Linked DNA regions of Saccharomyces cerevisiae S288C. The gene in region 2 interacts genetically with the main gene of each other region. Each region holds a gene or a part of one and is shown on either strand. Other genes may lie near its edges.

Region 1 (3,953 bases), on a different chromosome or scaffold from region 2:
TTCAAGCCACTAGCACTGTTTCCGAACAAACTGAAAACGGTGCTGCCAAGGCTGTCATCGGTATGGGTGCTGGTGTCATGGCCGCTGCCGCCATGTTATTATAATCTCATTTTTAAATGGAATTTTTAATGTTCGTATATACCAATTTATCTATTGAATAGTTTTTTTTAAATTTTACTGTTTCTTTTAAACCTCGAATTATTGTGAGAACTGATTTCATCAACTGGAGGCTGTAGTGTACGTTTTGAAAACGGAAATGATTTACCGTTTTCTTTTATGATGATGCTAGGATAGGCACCTTCAAACATGCATGTCTTCCTGCCCACATTCTGAAAATATTTAACGATGGATGAAAGAAATCAACAATAGAAAAGGCCAGTTGTCAGTTTTTATATAATACAGAGAAGTACATATGACAGTTTAAAAGTTAAGCATTAACTGGTAAGTTGAAATAATAATATAATCATAAGCGGAACGAACATTTTCGACACGTACTAAAATCATAGTAGCATGGCGGCAACAGCAGCTAAAGCACCGGCACCCATACCGATAACAGCCTTGGCAGCACCGTTTTCGGTTTGTTCAACGATACCGGTAGTTTTAGATTGAACGCTAACAACGGTAGCAGACTTCTTAGCTTGACAGGCGGAGTCACATACGGTAACTGTAGTCTTTAGTGTAGAGAAGTCAGTTGCAGTAGAGGTACCTTCTTTGCATGTACTGCAGATAGTAGCGGTTGAAACCTTAGTAGAATTGTTGTAACCGGTGGTGGAAGCTGGAACGGCAGATGTTGAAGAGTAGTCACAGACAGTGGTTTCTTTGGTGACAAGAGTGTTGTCAGTTTCAGTAACAGTGGTACCGTTTCTGGTTGAGATAATAACGCTGGAAGCAGAACTAGCTGGGGTGGTGGTGGTTGTGGAGTTGTAAGGAGCAATGGTCGAGATAGAAGTCTGGGCAGTGGAAGAAGAGCTAGCAATGGTTGAGTTGTAAGGAGCAACGCTTGAGCTAGCAGGTCCGGCCGAAGATGAAACAACTGAGGAAACTGGAGAGGAACTGACAGCTTCAGAAGAGGAAACGGCTGAGGAAGAACTGACAGAGGAAGAGCTAACAGACTCGGTCGAAGAGGAAACAGCGGAGGAAGATGTGACAGCAGAAGAACTAGTAGCTTCGCTTGTAGAAGAAGCAACGGAAGAGCTGACAACTTCACTTGAGGATGGCGCAACAGAGGAGCTGGCAACTTCACTTGAGGATGAAGCAACGGAAGAGCTGACAACTTCACTTGAGGATGGTGCAACGGAAGAGCTGACAACTTCACTTGAGGATGGCGCAACAGAGGAGCTGGCAACTTCACTTGAGGATGAAGCAACGGAAGAGCTGACAACTTCACTTGAGGATGGCGCAACAGAGGAGCTGGCAACTTCACTTGAGGATGAAGCAACGGAAGAGCTGACAACTTCACTTGAGGATGGTGCAACGGAAGAGCTGACAACTTCACTTGAGGATGGTGCAACGGAAGAGCTGACAACTTCACTTGAGGATGGTGCAACAGAAGAGCTAGTGGATGAAGCAATAGAAGAGCTAGCAACTTCACTTGAAGATGTGGCAGCAGAACTTGAGGTAGTTAGAGAAGCATCCATTGCTTCTAATTCTGGAAGCAGTCTAGAAGAGTACCATGGGACCATAGTCAACATATGCTCAACAGCAGAAAAGTCCACTTCAGAGTACAAAGTGGTGTAGGAGTCATCACTTGGATTTGCAACCAATTGCGCAGCAATATCCATAATACCAGCTGGCATTTGGTCCAAGGAAAAACCTGAATTTGGAGTGTAGGATAGGGTGATGTAGTCGGCAATGTTGGTCTTAACATCATCTAAAACAACGTTCAATTCGTTGATTTGTGCTTGGGTTTGAGCGTAAGCAATAGCAGCAAGAGCGGCTAGTAATGTGATTTTAGAGTAAGCCATATTTTTTATGGTATTAATAAGCGAGTGAATAGGTTTTTGTTGCTGGTTTCTATCAGAACAAGAGTAGGGAACGAGATAAGTAAACGGGCTAAAAACTGATCTGTCCTAGCGATCCTTCCCTTTTTATATTCGAAAGCTTGGGATCATATCTTACTGCGTGGAAAACAAAGAATTTGCATCCTCCCTTTTGGACTATCCTACTTGTTAGAAATGCATCGTTTAGGAACCCTGTTCTATTATTTTCCGTCATTTTTTGAGAATTTCCATTCCTTCTAAAAGTGGCAGATGGGTTGTTACGAGATTTTTACTGATAATTCGCGCGCAGCGTCGCCTCTCCGCGAGTTTCAGTGTAAGCTATTGTTGAAAAGTACTTCGTTTGCCTTTTTAAGTTGCCTTTGGTTGCCATTGTTGTATCTTCAGGGTTTTCTTCGGATCACATCAGCTGTGAGAGTACGGTTAAGTTTGGAAGTCACAACTCGATTATGCCAGTTCGTAAGTGAGCACTAGATGACCTTGCTTTCCCCGTACGAGCCGGTTACGGTAGCAACTTTTGTTTTCCTTGCGCGGAGTGTATGCCTATTCTGATCTTTAAATTTCCTGAAGTGTCTGTCGTGCGCCGTAAACGAATTATTACACACACACGAATCTGGGAAACCGTGAACCCCATACATTGTCTTTTTTTTTTCACAGTCCCTTATCAGTACCGTTTGGCTAACAAAAGCATAAAATATTGTTCGTTCAGATGACCCCTTCAGTACACCGCGTTTACAGTTTCAAAGTTCCTTTTAGAATAGCACCCTGTTCGCCGGCGGATAATTTGCACGCCGTATGAAGGAAGAACATATAAAAACGCAAAATATGAGGCATAAACAATCACAATATCCTCACCTTAGAAGTTAGCCGTAGCGGTTTTCTTGCGCGTGCTTGTTTCTTTTCTTAGTTCTAAGCTTCAGCAAACCCATCCACAATCTTTCTTCAAGAACTTTATCGTGTCTACTTCATAACAACCTGCTAAACAGATTGTGAAATCGTTCCTGCTCAAGCAAGTAGTTTATGATAAATCGTCTTGTAATAGCTCGGCAAAACAACATCATATATGAAAGTGTTTCAAGTTTTTTGCCTAGTAGCAGACTGGAAATTCCACCACCTCTCTTCCAGACTTCGGTTTACATAAGAACTTAATGGTGTGTAATTTTTTTACATACTTCTGGAAGCAGATATCATCGGCCCCCAAAGTCGCCTTCTGCAAAATAATGTGGAGATCTTATCTTGTTTTTCTCTTCTTTATGACACCAAGGATACAAACATATTGTCCTGTACCGGTACTAAGGTCAATGGCAGTATTAAATATTATCTCTCCGCTTATAATTTTTGTCAGTCCTATTAAAAAGCAAGACAGTTTACACAGCAGCGCTTGTTACGCAAATTTGACGTTAGTGGAAAAGCTGCAACTTTGGCATTCTATGTCAAACGATTAGTAATATAGTTGACTACTTTCGTAGAATTCCTTCCTCAAGAAAAATTTTCTCCGCCTTTCCTCTCTGAAGATGGAAATAACGCTGCATGGGGAAGAAAATAATGTAATTTTCGAAGCGAAAGCGAGAGAAACGGAGGGGAAAAATAAAAGTGTTTGGCGTATCATAGCCTCATTTGGAAGAATTTAACGCAGTGTAGTTTTCTTGGACGATACAGTAAACTCGACCAGGCACTAACATTACAGAAAATCTCGTATTGATATTGTTATTGCTTAAAGGGTAATCAAGGTAAACAAGAAAGAAGCTCCTCGTTGTCCGTAAATTTTTTAATAAGGAGAGAGAAAAAGAGAGATAACCAAGAGGAGAAAAAGGAATCTGCATCACATTTATTCAGGATAGTACGTTGGCTGATTTAGTACTCAGGATAAAAAATTCTATTTAAATAATGAGACCGAACAAAACAAGTCTGCTTCTGGCGTTATTATCCATTTTATCGCAAGCGAACGCCTATGAA
Region 2 (7,744 bases):
AACTTATTTTAGGCATCTTGAGCTTATTTCTTAATGCGTGGGAAAAATTGTAATTTGTGAAGCTTAAGGATAATCAGACGGAAAAGCTAGCTTGGATCCAAGAAAAACTCCCGGTAACCAGGCCAGCAGCCCCTAAATGGTCATCCACTAACACAAATTACTTGAACATGTTGAAATGTGTTGAAGAGCCATGATATTTTTATTTTTTATTCGAAAGAAGAATTAAACTGAGGAAAGAAAGAGCAAATTAATAGAGGGCCGTTTTATAATATCTCTAGGACTCAAAAATTCTTCCAAGAAAATTTGTCCGGGTAACGAACATAGTTTTATTATCTTAGGTCTATTCTCAAATAACGCTGTCATTAATTGGCGAGATGAAAAGATAATAGTACACAGTTTTTTTGAGAAGATATATGTTAGTTACCGCTAATTATTTTCAATGCTAAAAACTTTGCTTTTCGCATTTTTACTTTTGTTTTTTTTGTTATGTCTCTTACCAGCTGAACTATTTTGAACTTTGTGGAATGGTGTACTTAATCTACCTTCGACGTTGTTCATCTTGAAGAAGTCTCTATCCAAGTCCTCAGCGGCATTGTACAATGCAGCTTGTTTACCACCGTGCGTAACAGATTTGGCTTCTTTTTGTGTGTCACCACCAGTGTGAGCTGAAAACGTTAGCTGATTCAAATCACGAGCTAAATCCACGATATCAATGCCTTTAGCCTTAGCAGCATTTTGCACTTGCTCCTTTCTGGTGTCCGGTAATCTGTCGAACACATATAAATCTTTGTTAAATTCTTCACACTCTTCTCTAGTGTAAGGTGTATCATCCTCTAGATGGGGCGGAGGGTTGACATACAGTAATTTCCCATTGACGTAATCTTTCAATATATAACGACTTGCTCTTGGTTCATCAGCAGAACCGTAACCTTGAGTCATATAACCACGAGCTCTGGCGTATGCGACTAACAATTCTTGAGCAGTTGGTATATCCCCATTCCCACCTTCATCCCTTGATTTGGTTTGAATATGGATACCATAAATCGCTTCAATGTAATACTTTGGTATTCTTTCTGCTACTAAACCTGCTGGACCAATATAATCACGTAATTGATCAATAGGTAAAACACCATTACACACGAGCTCACCCTTGTTATATGCAAAGTTTGGGAAGACAAGACCGGGACAGTCACAAAGCATGACAGAATCAGATAACTTAATAGTTTGGAAGTGTTTTGTTTTACCAGGCGTGGATGAAACAGAAACTTTCTTGGCACCCACGAGCGAATTAATAGTGGAGGATTTACCTACATTTGGATAACCAACCAAACCAATATTAATCAGTGGAGGTTGACCGGGCAGAGGTGGCAATAAAGGCTCGTTTGGAGCTTTTGATAAAAACAATTCTTCCAGTTGGTCAATGGACAGAATTTTAACTTTTTCCATAACTTTTTCATCAGCATCGAACCCTTCTTTATCAGCTTCCTCGAAATCTTGTTCTCTATAATCTTCCCCCATTTCCTTTTGTTTCTCCAATAATTGATTAGCTCTCAATGCAGAGTAAAACGTGAACGAAATATTCTTGGAGATAAAGTACTTTGCCCAAGCGATACGTTGCTTTTTGGTCAATAAATCTGCTTTATTAACTAGCAGTAAGTTTGCTTTTCTGTCATCTGACTCTTTTACATATCTTTCTAAATCGACAGATCTAAACAGCAACGGATTCCTCGCATCTACAATTTGAACAACTAAATCTGATCTTTCAACAACTCTCCATAACTGTTTCCAAACTTCGATATTTCTTTCAAACGGTGTTAACAACAAGTCTTCATTGCTTTCTTGTAAATGTGCCAATTTTCTTCTCCATTCTAAAAACGCTTCCTTTTCTTGCCTATCAAGCTGAAACTTGGACATGCCCTCGTTCCATTCAGGCCTCCTTGGAACAATCAAATCCTTAGCAAGCGCTCTTTGCTTCGCATTAAGATTTCCACGCTGCTCATTAGTCATAGAAAACCCTTGAGATGTCGCAGAATCATTACCGCTATCCATTCTAATAATTTTAACATTTGAATGTCTATCGGCCGTGAAATCTTTGTCTGCCAGTGCAGCTGTACTCAAGAATTCATCTAAAGCTGATTCTTGAGTTACAGATCTTAATTTAACCCAGTTGGCCTCATGCTTATCGGTAGTGAACCTCATTTCACCATCAGGTAAATACTCGATGGCATTTTCTTTTTGACGTGCATATTTAATAGCTCTGCCTAATTCAAGCTTATTTTTATTTTTACGGTGGGTAGGTTTTGGCCCTTTTGGCGCCTTCCATTTCTTGGGAGCTTCTTTTGGTGGCATAGTTGGTGGGGGTCCTCAATATCAGATTTAGTTTTGTGTTTAAAAGAAGTTGGCTTATAAGCTCATCACCTCTTTATTAAGTAGTAGAATGCATTTTCATTGACAAATTTTTTAATCTCGGCATTGAAAAATTTCCAGGCGAAAAGGCGAGGGAAGGGAAGCTTGATATAATTCGAAAGAATACCCAATATCAAGAATAATAATATCATTTGATGTAATATCATTATATTTGTAAGAGCTTTTTAAAAGCATCATCTTTCTTGATTCATCTGTTGCCTCGTATTATACAGAATAATGCACACGTATAAAGTACCAATATATAATGTTATGTATACATATATTCTTATTTATTGTTGGGCAGTAATTACTGACATACACTTAAATTCATTTGAATAAGTGGCTTTCCATAAACGTACCTTCCCATCATCCCCAGCACTGCTTAAGATTGTACCCGTTAAATTCCAAGACACGGACCAAACTTCGCCATTATGGTCATCATGCTCGCTTAGAAGTTCAACTTGCAAGTTTGATTGTAGCTCAGCTTTCTCTTCGGTATTTGAGTCTGATCTGCCCTGTGCATCCATGTCAACATCAGCACTATTATCAAACATATTTGAGTTAGTTAAAGACTCCTCTGAGGCCAGGGGACTTAGTTTTTCTGTGATTTTGAAAATTCTAATTCTACCATCTTTGCAACCTGTTGCAATGAGTTGATACCATCTACCAATGGAAGGAGCCCAGCTGATACTTCTTATTAAACTTTTATGACCGGGAAGTTTTGCTGCAACGTGAAGTTTACCGTCTTTACCCCTTTGGTATATAATCGCTTGTTCCAATGCAGAGACTGCGAGCTTTTCAGGAGAAAATCTCGAAGGACACCAAGAGAGACAAAAATCAGACTGTAAATGATTTGCTGGTGGTATAGATAGCACTTTCATCTCAGAAGTCAGTGTCCATGACCTTAGGTCAGAAGGTTCTAAGGCATCATAAAGTCTGAGGATTCCATCGTTACCCAAACAAGCTAATTTTAAGCCCAAATGCGCTGGCGCAAATTTTACACTATAAAGTGATCCTTTGGAATCATTCAGGGTACACAGCTTGTTCCAACGACGGCCAGAGCATTCTTCTTGGTCGGGATCTTCTTCCCATAATTTTACCGTCTTATCGTAAGAGGCTGAAGCAATGATGCGCCCATATTCTGGACTGGCCCAATCAATGGCCACGATACTACTGTCGTGAGCTCTCCATGAGTCACTGAGTTCCCAATTACTCGTGTCCTTGTCTAATTTAAAAACTTTAATATGTTGATCAGAAGAGCATGTTGCCACATGTCTTCCGTAAAAGTCATAAACGACATCATGAACTAAATCATCATGCCCACTATCAAATGGTTGCATATTCAGAAATATTATTGGGTCGTTCTTCTTCTTCCTTAGTATCTCTTCAGAAGGGAAACCTTGTTTATAATTTGGTTTACTTGTCTCTATTCAGTTCATGATTTTTTCCATCGTTTTGCCGAAGACTTAACTAACAATAAATAAGAGAAACAGATATATTAAAACTTGGTTGATAATGCAGCACGCACATTCAATCGCGAATAATATACAAAAGATTATTTCTAAAGTTACATATAATGCACACCGGGTGCTGGAAGTATAATACATGCAAAATAAAATGGGCACTATCTCGTTGAAAAGCATCAAGATGTTATTATAAATGATACGCACCACCAGGTGAAGGTTTGAGAAAAGAAAAAAAAGCACTAACTTTTCTTTCAAAAGGCCACATTATTACTCCTTCAAACTGTCGAAAAAGGCTTGTCGATCTTCCAGTAAAGATTGTGTCCATTTTTTAACTTCATCAGTTTTTATATCATTGATGGCTCCCAAAAATTGTTTCAAATCCTTCTTGCCATTATACTTTTGTTCGTACTCAAAACATTGAACCAACATTTCATACTTATCAATATCTTTGACATATCTTCCTTCCAAACAGGTCTGCTTTTCGTATGCTAACCAGTCATCAAGAATTTCCCTAGATGCGCTTTCACTGCAGGGCCTTATTATGCTTTCACAGAGATACTTGACAGTTTCAAATTCTCTGCGATGTTTCTCTTCCTTTGTCATTGGGTCATTAGGTGTAATATCACCAACTAATGACTCCGCAAAATCGTGAACAAGTGCGATTCTGATACATTTGTTACGATCAACATTCTTGTCCGTAATCAGCATGGTAGTTAAACCCATTCTGTACATATGGTCAGATATACTTTCGCATGGGTCAATACCATGGTCAACCCAACCAGTTCTTCTTTGCGTTTTCAAAAGTTGTATAATATTCAAAAACGCTAACTGATAATTTGGGTGAGGTTTCGAAAGAATTGCCAAAATCTCCCTAGGTATATTATCTTCTGGCTTCCAGATGTTAACTGCAGTCATTTTGTTTTTCCTGGTCTTTACCTCGAATAGGTTTTCTTGTTTTGTTATTTGTTTTCTTTTTGGACCCTATGTTTATATATGGATTTTGAAAATCTTTTAAAAAAGCGATAAAAGCGTTGGGATCTGCCACTGGTAACTTCAAAATAGACAAGACGAAAAAACGGTGAAAATGGGTGATAGAAATAATACAGAAGTAGATGTTGAATTAGATTAAACTGAAGATATATAATTTATTGGAAAATACATAGAGTTTTTGTTGATGCGCTTAAGCGATCAATTCAACAACACCACCAGCAGCTCTGATTTTTTCTTCAGCCAACTTGGAGACGAATCTAGCTTTGACGATAACTGGAACATTTGGAATTCTACCCTTACCCAAGATCTTACCGTAACCGGCTGCCAAAGTGTCAATAACTGGAGCAGTTTCCTTAGAAGCAGATTTCAAGTATTGGTCTCTCTTGTCTTCTGGGATCAATGTCCACAATTTGTCCAAGTTCAAGACTGGCTTCCAGAAATGAGCTTGTTGCTTGTGGAAGTATCTCATACCAACCTTACCGAAATAACCTGGATGGTATTTATCCATGTTAATTCTGTGGTGATGTTGACCACCGGCCATACCTCTACCACCGGGGTGCTTTCTGTGCTTACCGATACGACCTTTACCGGCTGTACAAAAAAAATATTGTAATGAAATACAATTTTTAAATCGTTAGTAAAACAGGTTTTCAACTGGACATTTTATCGAAACAAAAGAAACGTGGTAACTCTTTTTCATAATTGCGCTCTCTACAACCATTTGATACAGCGATAATTAGTGCTTTCCATAATCTAAATGAAAGTTACCTTTTATAGCCGTAAAATGAGTAGACAGTATGACTGTTCTGAATATCATGGTATAATAAAGGAGAAGTATGACAAAGGCTATGCACACTTTCTTTTTGCTCAGTTTGCGATGGAAGAGTACATTTACTCGAGCTATTACCTCAAATAAGCCGTCTCAACAGTGAGATGGTAATACAAAGTTCGCAATCAAAACACAAAGAAATATGTTGAGTACACTTAGCTGATTGACATTCTCCTGTACCATGATATACACACGACATATTGGTTGCACAACACTAAAAAAAAAGTCACCGTCTTGGTTCTTTCATTCCCTCTTCCAAATGGAACTACATACCTGAGACGTGACCTCTGTGCTTTCTAGTCTTAGTGAATCTGGAAGGCATTCTTGATTAGTTGGATGATTGTTCTGGGATTTAATGCAAAAAAATCACTAAGAAGGAAAAAAATCAACGGAGAAAGCAAACGCCATCTTAAATATACGGGATACAGATGAAAGGTTTGAACCTATCTGGGAAAATACGCATTAAACAAGCGAAAAACTGCGAGGAAAATTGTTTGCGTCTCTGCGGGCTATTCACGCGCCAGAGGAAAAATAGGAAAAATAACAGGCATTAGAAAAATAATTTTGATTTTGGTAATGTGTGGGTCCCTGGTGTACAGATGTTACATTGGTTACAGTACTCTTGTTTTTGCTGTGTTTTTCGAAAGGGTTTCCTGGGAACTAGTGCTATAATGTCAACATCAAGTATCGTAGATTTCAATTCAACTTAGCTCTTATTACAGTTTATATATAATACGCATTTCATAAGGTTCATTCCACCTCGTCTCTTGTAATCATTACAATGCTGTTGATCAACTATATTTAACAATATTATAGCTTGTTTCTTTATAACATTAGCTTACGCTCATAGGCGGCAGTAAACGATGATTAACCATGAAACGTAAGGTAACGGTGGCATAATTTGGTATTTGTTTTCTTTTTTTCATTTTTTGAACTATTACTTGGTTTTTTCGAGAGCAAACTACCTCATACTTATTTCTTGTGTGTTAATATTATATTGGCGGCAAAGTGAAAGGGGTGATCATTCTGTTATGAAAAAAATAAAGAACTTAAGAGGAACGGTGAAGAAAGAAAACGGATAAAATGAGAAGAGTTAAACAGGTACGTAGCATAGTATGAATAGGATTCTATCTAGTGCATCGTTGCTATCCAATGTTAGCATGCCAAGGCAAAACAAGCATAAAATTACAAAGGCGTTATGTTATGCAATTATAGTAGCCTCAATCGGTTCAATACAATTTGGTTACCACTTGTCGGAATTAAATGCACCTCAGCAGGTGCTTTCGTGCTCAGAATTTGACATTCCCATGGAGGGCTATCCCTATGACAGAACATGGCTGGGAAAAAGAGGATATAAGCAATGTATACCATTGAATGATGAACAGATTGGAATCGTGACCTCCGTTTTTTGCATTGGAGGCATTTTGGGCTCTTATTTTGCCACCAGTCTGGCCAATATTTATGGAAGGAAGTTCTCAAGTTTAATTAACTGCACATTGAATATCGTCGGTTCGCTGATAATCTTCAATTCGAATAGTTATAGGGGCTTAATCATTGGTAGAATTCTAGTGGGTATTTCGTGTGGCTCTTTGATCGTGATTATACCCCTTTTCATTAAGGAAGTTGCTCCAAGCGGTTGGGAAGGTTTACTGGGTTCGATGACACAAATCTGTATCAGGTTAGGGGTCTTGTTGACACAAGGAATAGCCCTCCCACTGACTGATTCATACCGTTGGAGGTGGATTTTGTTTGGTAGCTTCCTTATCGCGGTATTGAATTTTTTCATGTGGTTTATAGTCGATGAATCTCCAAAATGGTTGTTAGCACATGGAAGAGTCACCGATGCTAAGTTATCTCTATGTAAGCTACGTGGCGTGACTTTTGATGAAGCCGCACAAGAGATACAGGATTGGCAACTGCAAATAGAATCTGGGGATCCGTTGATTGAACCAACCACCACGAACTCTATTAGCGGTTCTAATTCATTATGGAAATACTTGAGGGACAGAACAAATGTCAAGTCTCGCCATGTTATCACTGTATTGTTATTTGG
Region 3 (3,904 bases), on a different chromosome or scaffold from region 2:
ATATTTTCCCTGTTGAAATGAGCCAAAGAATCAATTAAGTTATAATCTTGCAAAAGCAAAGGGCCATGTTCCCCAATACGTTGGGTGACAAATGGTTCATTGATTGGATTACCAGTGGAGTTTGTCACAACTCTATCCTCTCTTACATCAGAGTAATTTACTTCATTTTTTTCTTGTCCCAATTTCGACATCTTCTAGGGTTCCAAATTTATTTGTAAGTACTATTATATTTATTTAACTTACCTTTTAAATAAACCTACAAGAAATTCAAATGTACGATTTGGACATTACAGTGAAGAATGCTTTCTACATCTCTTTATATGTATGGCGATATCAAAACTGGTTGTTTCTCCAATTCTGTCACTGTGGGGATTTTCGGAGTTTATATTTGTTAAAGCCGTCCTTTTTCGGATTAAGGGACCCCACCAACTTGCGCGGCTAATTCCGGCCAACTTTTTGCATTACTAATTGCGGCTTTAAATAGTGGTTAGAACAACCGCTCACTTCTTCACGCAAGGACGTTTGACAGAGCTTTTTTCTTCCTCTGTCAACTTTCTCTTTAAAATATTAGTTAGCAGCTTTTCATCAGGAATAACCTTGTAATTCTTGTCGATGGTTTCTTCACAAACTTGCAGCGAATCTATTTCGCTTTTCAAAACTCTCCGAGCCATAACATCTCTTAGTTCTTCCCTTGTTAATGAGTTTCCTTTCGAAGGTTTTTCGATAGAAACGCACTTTTTTATGGGGTAATCGGCTAGACGCTTCATAATACAACGTTTCCATGTGGCACTACAGTTTGTAGTGGCGCGGGCACCTTCTATCAATTGTAAACACTTCTTTACAATTCTCTCCACTTGCCTTTCCATTGCTTTTATGTCCAGTTTGCATAAACCTGGAATTTGGCAAAGAATTGTCAAGATTTGGACCAAAAGTATTAGTTGAGGCAACAATTCACCATTATTATAACAATCATATGAATCTAGTACTATTTCTTCACCTTCTAAGAATTCTTGAATATTGGCGTTATTGCGTAAGATATCAATACACCTGTCCAAAAATTCAGTATTCGTCTCAAAAGTCTCTTTTAACGCCTCGACAATATTTTCAAGTAACACTTCTCCAAAATCATACTTCGAACCGTCCCATTCAACATACCCATATCTTCTTAGTAGTTCCGAATTTGGATGTTCTCCGTATATGTTGTACACTTGTTCATTCTTTTCAATATCCCTCAAAGCAACCATCTTTAAACAGTTAGAGTCGTAAGTTAAATTAGCGTTGCATTTACTGGTATCTGCATTCAACATATCAGCAAGTGGAATCATCGATTTCAAGTAGCGCTCATTTTCAAGTTCTTCTTCACTGGTTTCTTCTTCTTCATTTTCATTTACACTACTATCTTGCATTTCCAAATCAAAGGAGTAACTCAATATAATGCTTGCAATATAGGCAAAATTATCAAACTCGAAGGACGTCGCTACACGTGAAAATTCTCCACCAATTTGTTTGATTGATTTAATAATTCTTTCATGCATCTCTTTGGCTTCCTTTTTTCCTATTCTTTCAAGGACAAGTGATGGTTTTAAAAGTTGCAGTTCATTATCATCCCAAAAAATTAACGCGTTCATATCGCTTGGTTTGTTCCAAACTTTAAAGTAAGGCGCCCATCGGCTTCTTTCTTGCAAAACTTCCATCTCATAAAGTATACAGATAATTAAACCTTCCCACGATCCGGTTTCGTTCAGGAACTTATCCTTGAGAGAAGGATAATCCTTTATCAGTTGAGATGTTGTAACGCTTAAAACAGAACTACGAGGTATTTTAAACAATGTTTCATCCTTCTTAATCTTTTGAGTGGCAACTACTGCGCGGCCTTGATTATCACAACAAAGATCTTTGATTTCTATCTTAGGGGATACTTCAATTTCAGCGGTAGTTTTTAACCAGCAAACAAAGTTTTCGGTATCTCTTGAAAAATCATCCATTTTCGCAAACTTTCCCCTTTATTACTAGTCATATTGAAATGATCGTATTAAGCTTTTACAAAGGTAATGAAATTTTTTCATACTCGAGAGAAAAATATGTGACACATGTGTGTATTACCCGCAGTAACTCTCGAAGATTACATTTGAATAATATCAATACTTCCAGACCAATAGCTTTATTGTATTGCCAGGGCACTTGGTACATGTAACATTCATCCAGTTTATTTGATACCAAAAATCTTTTATTTTAATTCTTCTATTTACAAAAGAGAAATGTGTATGTTTATATATGTATTTTCTTGGGAATTTATTATTCATAAACCGCTTGTGCAGTTACTTTTCAGCTTCCTCTTCAACAACTTCGCCTTCTTCATGATTTGGTAGCACGACAAGCTTAGTATCTTTAACCACCACTCTAACAGTTTCGCCGTTTCTAATTTGACCTTTTAATAAGAAAGTTGCCATGGAGTTCAAAATCTGTCTATGAATTAATCTATTCAATGGCCTTGCACCATATAATTGATCGTAGCCTTTGTCAGTTAGCCAATCCTTCGCTTCATCAGTTAAATCAATTTTCATTCTTTTTTCGGCCAAACGATCTTGAATTTCTGCAATTCTAATATCAACAATTGACCTCAAAACTTTCTTGGATAGCCTATTGAAAACTAGAATATCATCAATACGATTGATGAACTCAGGTGGATAGGATCTTTTCATTGCTTCGATAACTTTATTCTTGGTTGCGGTGTCAATCTTACCATCATCACCCAACTTTGTGTCGTTTAATAAAATATCTTGTCCAATGTTTGAGGTCATCACAATGATCGTGTTACGGAAATCAACATGATGGCCTAGGGAATCGGTCAGCTTACCTTCATCCAACACTTGCAACAGTAGTTTGGAAACATCGGGGTGCGCTTTTTCAAATTCATCAAATAAAACGACAGCATAAGGCTTTCTTCTGACAGCCTCAGTTAATTGGCCACCAGATTCGCTTAAGACGTAACCTGGAGGTGCACCGATTAAACGAGAGACAGTATGCTTCTCTTGAAATTCTGACATGTCAAAACGAATCACATTTGATTCGTCATCAAATAGGAATTCAGCTAAAGCCTTGGTCAATTCTGTTTTACCAGTACCAGTAGGACCTAAGAACATAAAGCTGGCAATAGGTCTCTTTTCACTGGTCAAACCAGCCCTTTGAAGACGTACAGCATCAGAAATAGCAGCAATGGCCTCGTCTTGGCCAACGACTCTTTCTTTTAAAGAATTTTCCATATACAGTAGGCGGTCCTTGTCGCCTTTCATCACCGTTTCTGTAGGAATACCAGTCATTTTGGCAACAACCTTAGAAATATCGTCAGAAGTAACTGAATCATGAAGTAAATTTACTTTATCTCCGTCCTTACTCTTCTCGCTTAAAGCTACCTTCTTCTCCAAGTCAGGAATTCTGGAATATCGCAACTCGGATGCTTTAGTGTAATCACCCTCTCTCTGACACTTTTCCAACTCAATTCTTGCTTGTTCCAAATTTGCCTTAGCATTTTTGATAGATTCAATTTCAGCTCTTTCAGCGTCCCATATTTTTGTTAATCTGTTTAATTCATCATTTTTCATTTCTAGGTCCTTTTCCAACGCTTCTCTTCTTTCCACGGAAACAGGGTCGGTCTCTTTCTTTAAAGATTCCAGTTCTATTTGTATTTTCATAATAGCACGATCCAGTTTCTGTATTTCATCCGGTTTGGATTCATGTTGTAAACGTAGTACAGCACAAGCTTCGTCAACTAGATCAATGGCTTTATCAGGTAGAAACCTGTCTGTTATATAACGATTTGAAAGAACTGCAGCAGACACTAAAGCTGTATCAGTGATCCTTACACCATGATGAACCTCGTACCTTTCTTTTAAACCTCTTAGTA

The links. Genes that interact genetically often act in the same process or in processes that back each other up.
Region 1: mutations in RPL28 (region 2) and TIR4 together harm fitness more than expected from each alone (negative genetic interaction), as found in Saccharomyces cerevisiae (one large-scale study listed by BioGRID).
Region 3: mutations in RPL28 (region 2) and RKM4 together harm fitness more than expected from each alone (negative genetic interaction), as found in Saccharomyces cerevisiae (one large-scale study listed by BioGRID).

Annotation. Positions count from the first base shown.
Region 1 is NC_001147.6:342,346-346,298, reverse strand, and holds TIR4 (Tir4p), read right to left. Parts: upstream 1,965-3,953; coding exon 501-1,964; downstream 1-500. Other genes in the region: TIR2 (putative GPI-anchored mannoprotein), read left to right, coding at 1-104; YOR008C-A (uncharacterized protein), read left to right, coding at 3,218-3,442; SLG1 (Slg1p), read left to right, coding at 3,885-3,953. UniProt on the Saccharomyces cerevisiae protein: Component of the cell wall. Required for anaerobic growth.
Region 2 is NC_001139.9:309,236-316,979, reverse strand, and holds RPL28 (60S ribosomal protein uL15 RPL28), read right to left. Parts: upstream 6,014-7,744; coding exon 5,965-6,013; intron 5,454-5,964; coding exon 5,053-5,453; downstream 1-5,052. Other genes in the region: ribosome biogenesis GTPase LSG1, read right to left, coding at 427-2,349; SEH1 (Seh1p), read right to left, coding at 2,697-3,746; YGK1 (5'-deoxynucleotidase), read right to left, coding at 4,140-4,787; VPS73 (putative sugar transporter), read left to right, coding at 6,807-7,744. UniProt on the Saccharomyces cerevisiae protein: Component of the ribosome, a large ribonucleoprotein complex responsible for the synthesis of proteins in the cell.
Region 3 is NC_001136.10:969,490-973,393, forward strand, and holds RKM4 (ribosomal lysine N-methyltransferase), read right to left. Parts: upstream 1,986-3,904; coding exon 501-1,985; downstream 1-500. Other genes in the region: CTA1 (catalase A), read right to left, coding at 1-191; chaperone ATPase HSP78, read right to left, coding at 2,319-3,904. UniProt on the Saccharomyces cerevisiae protein: S-adenosyl-L-methionine-dependent protein-lysine N-methyltransferase that monomethylates 60S ribosomal protein L42 (RPL42A and RPL42B) at 'Lys-55'.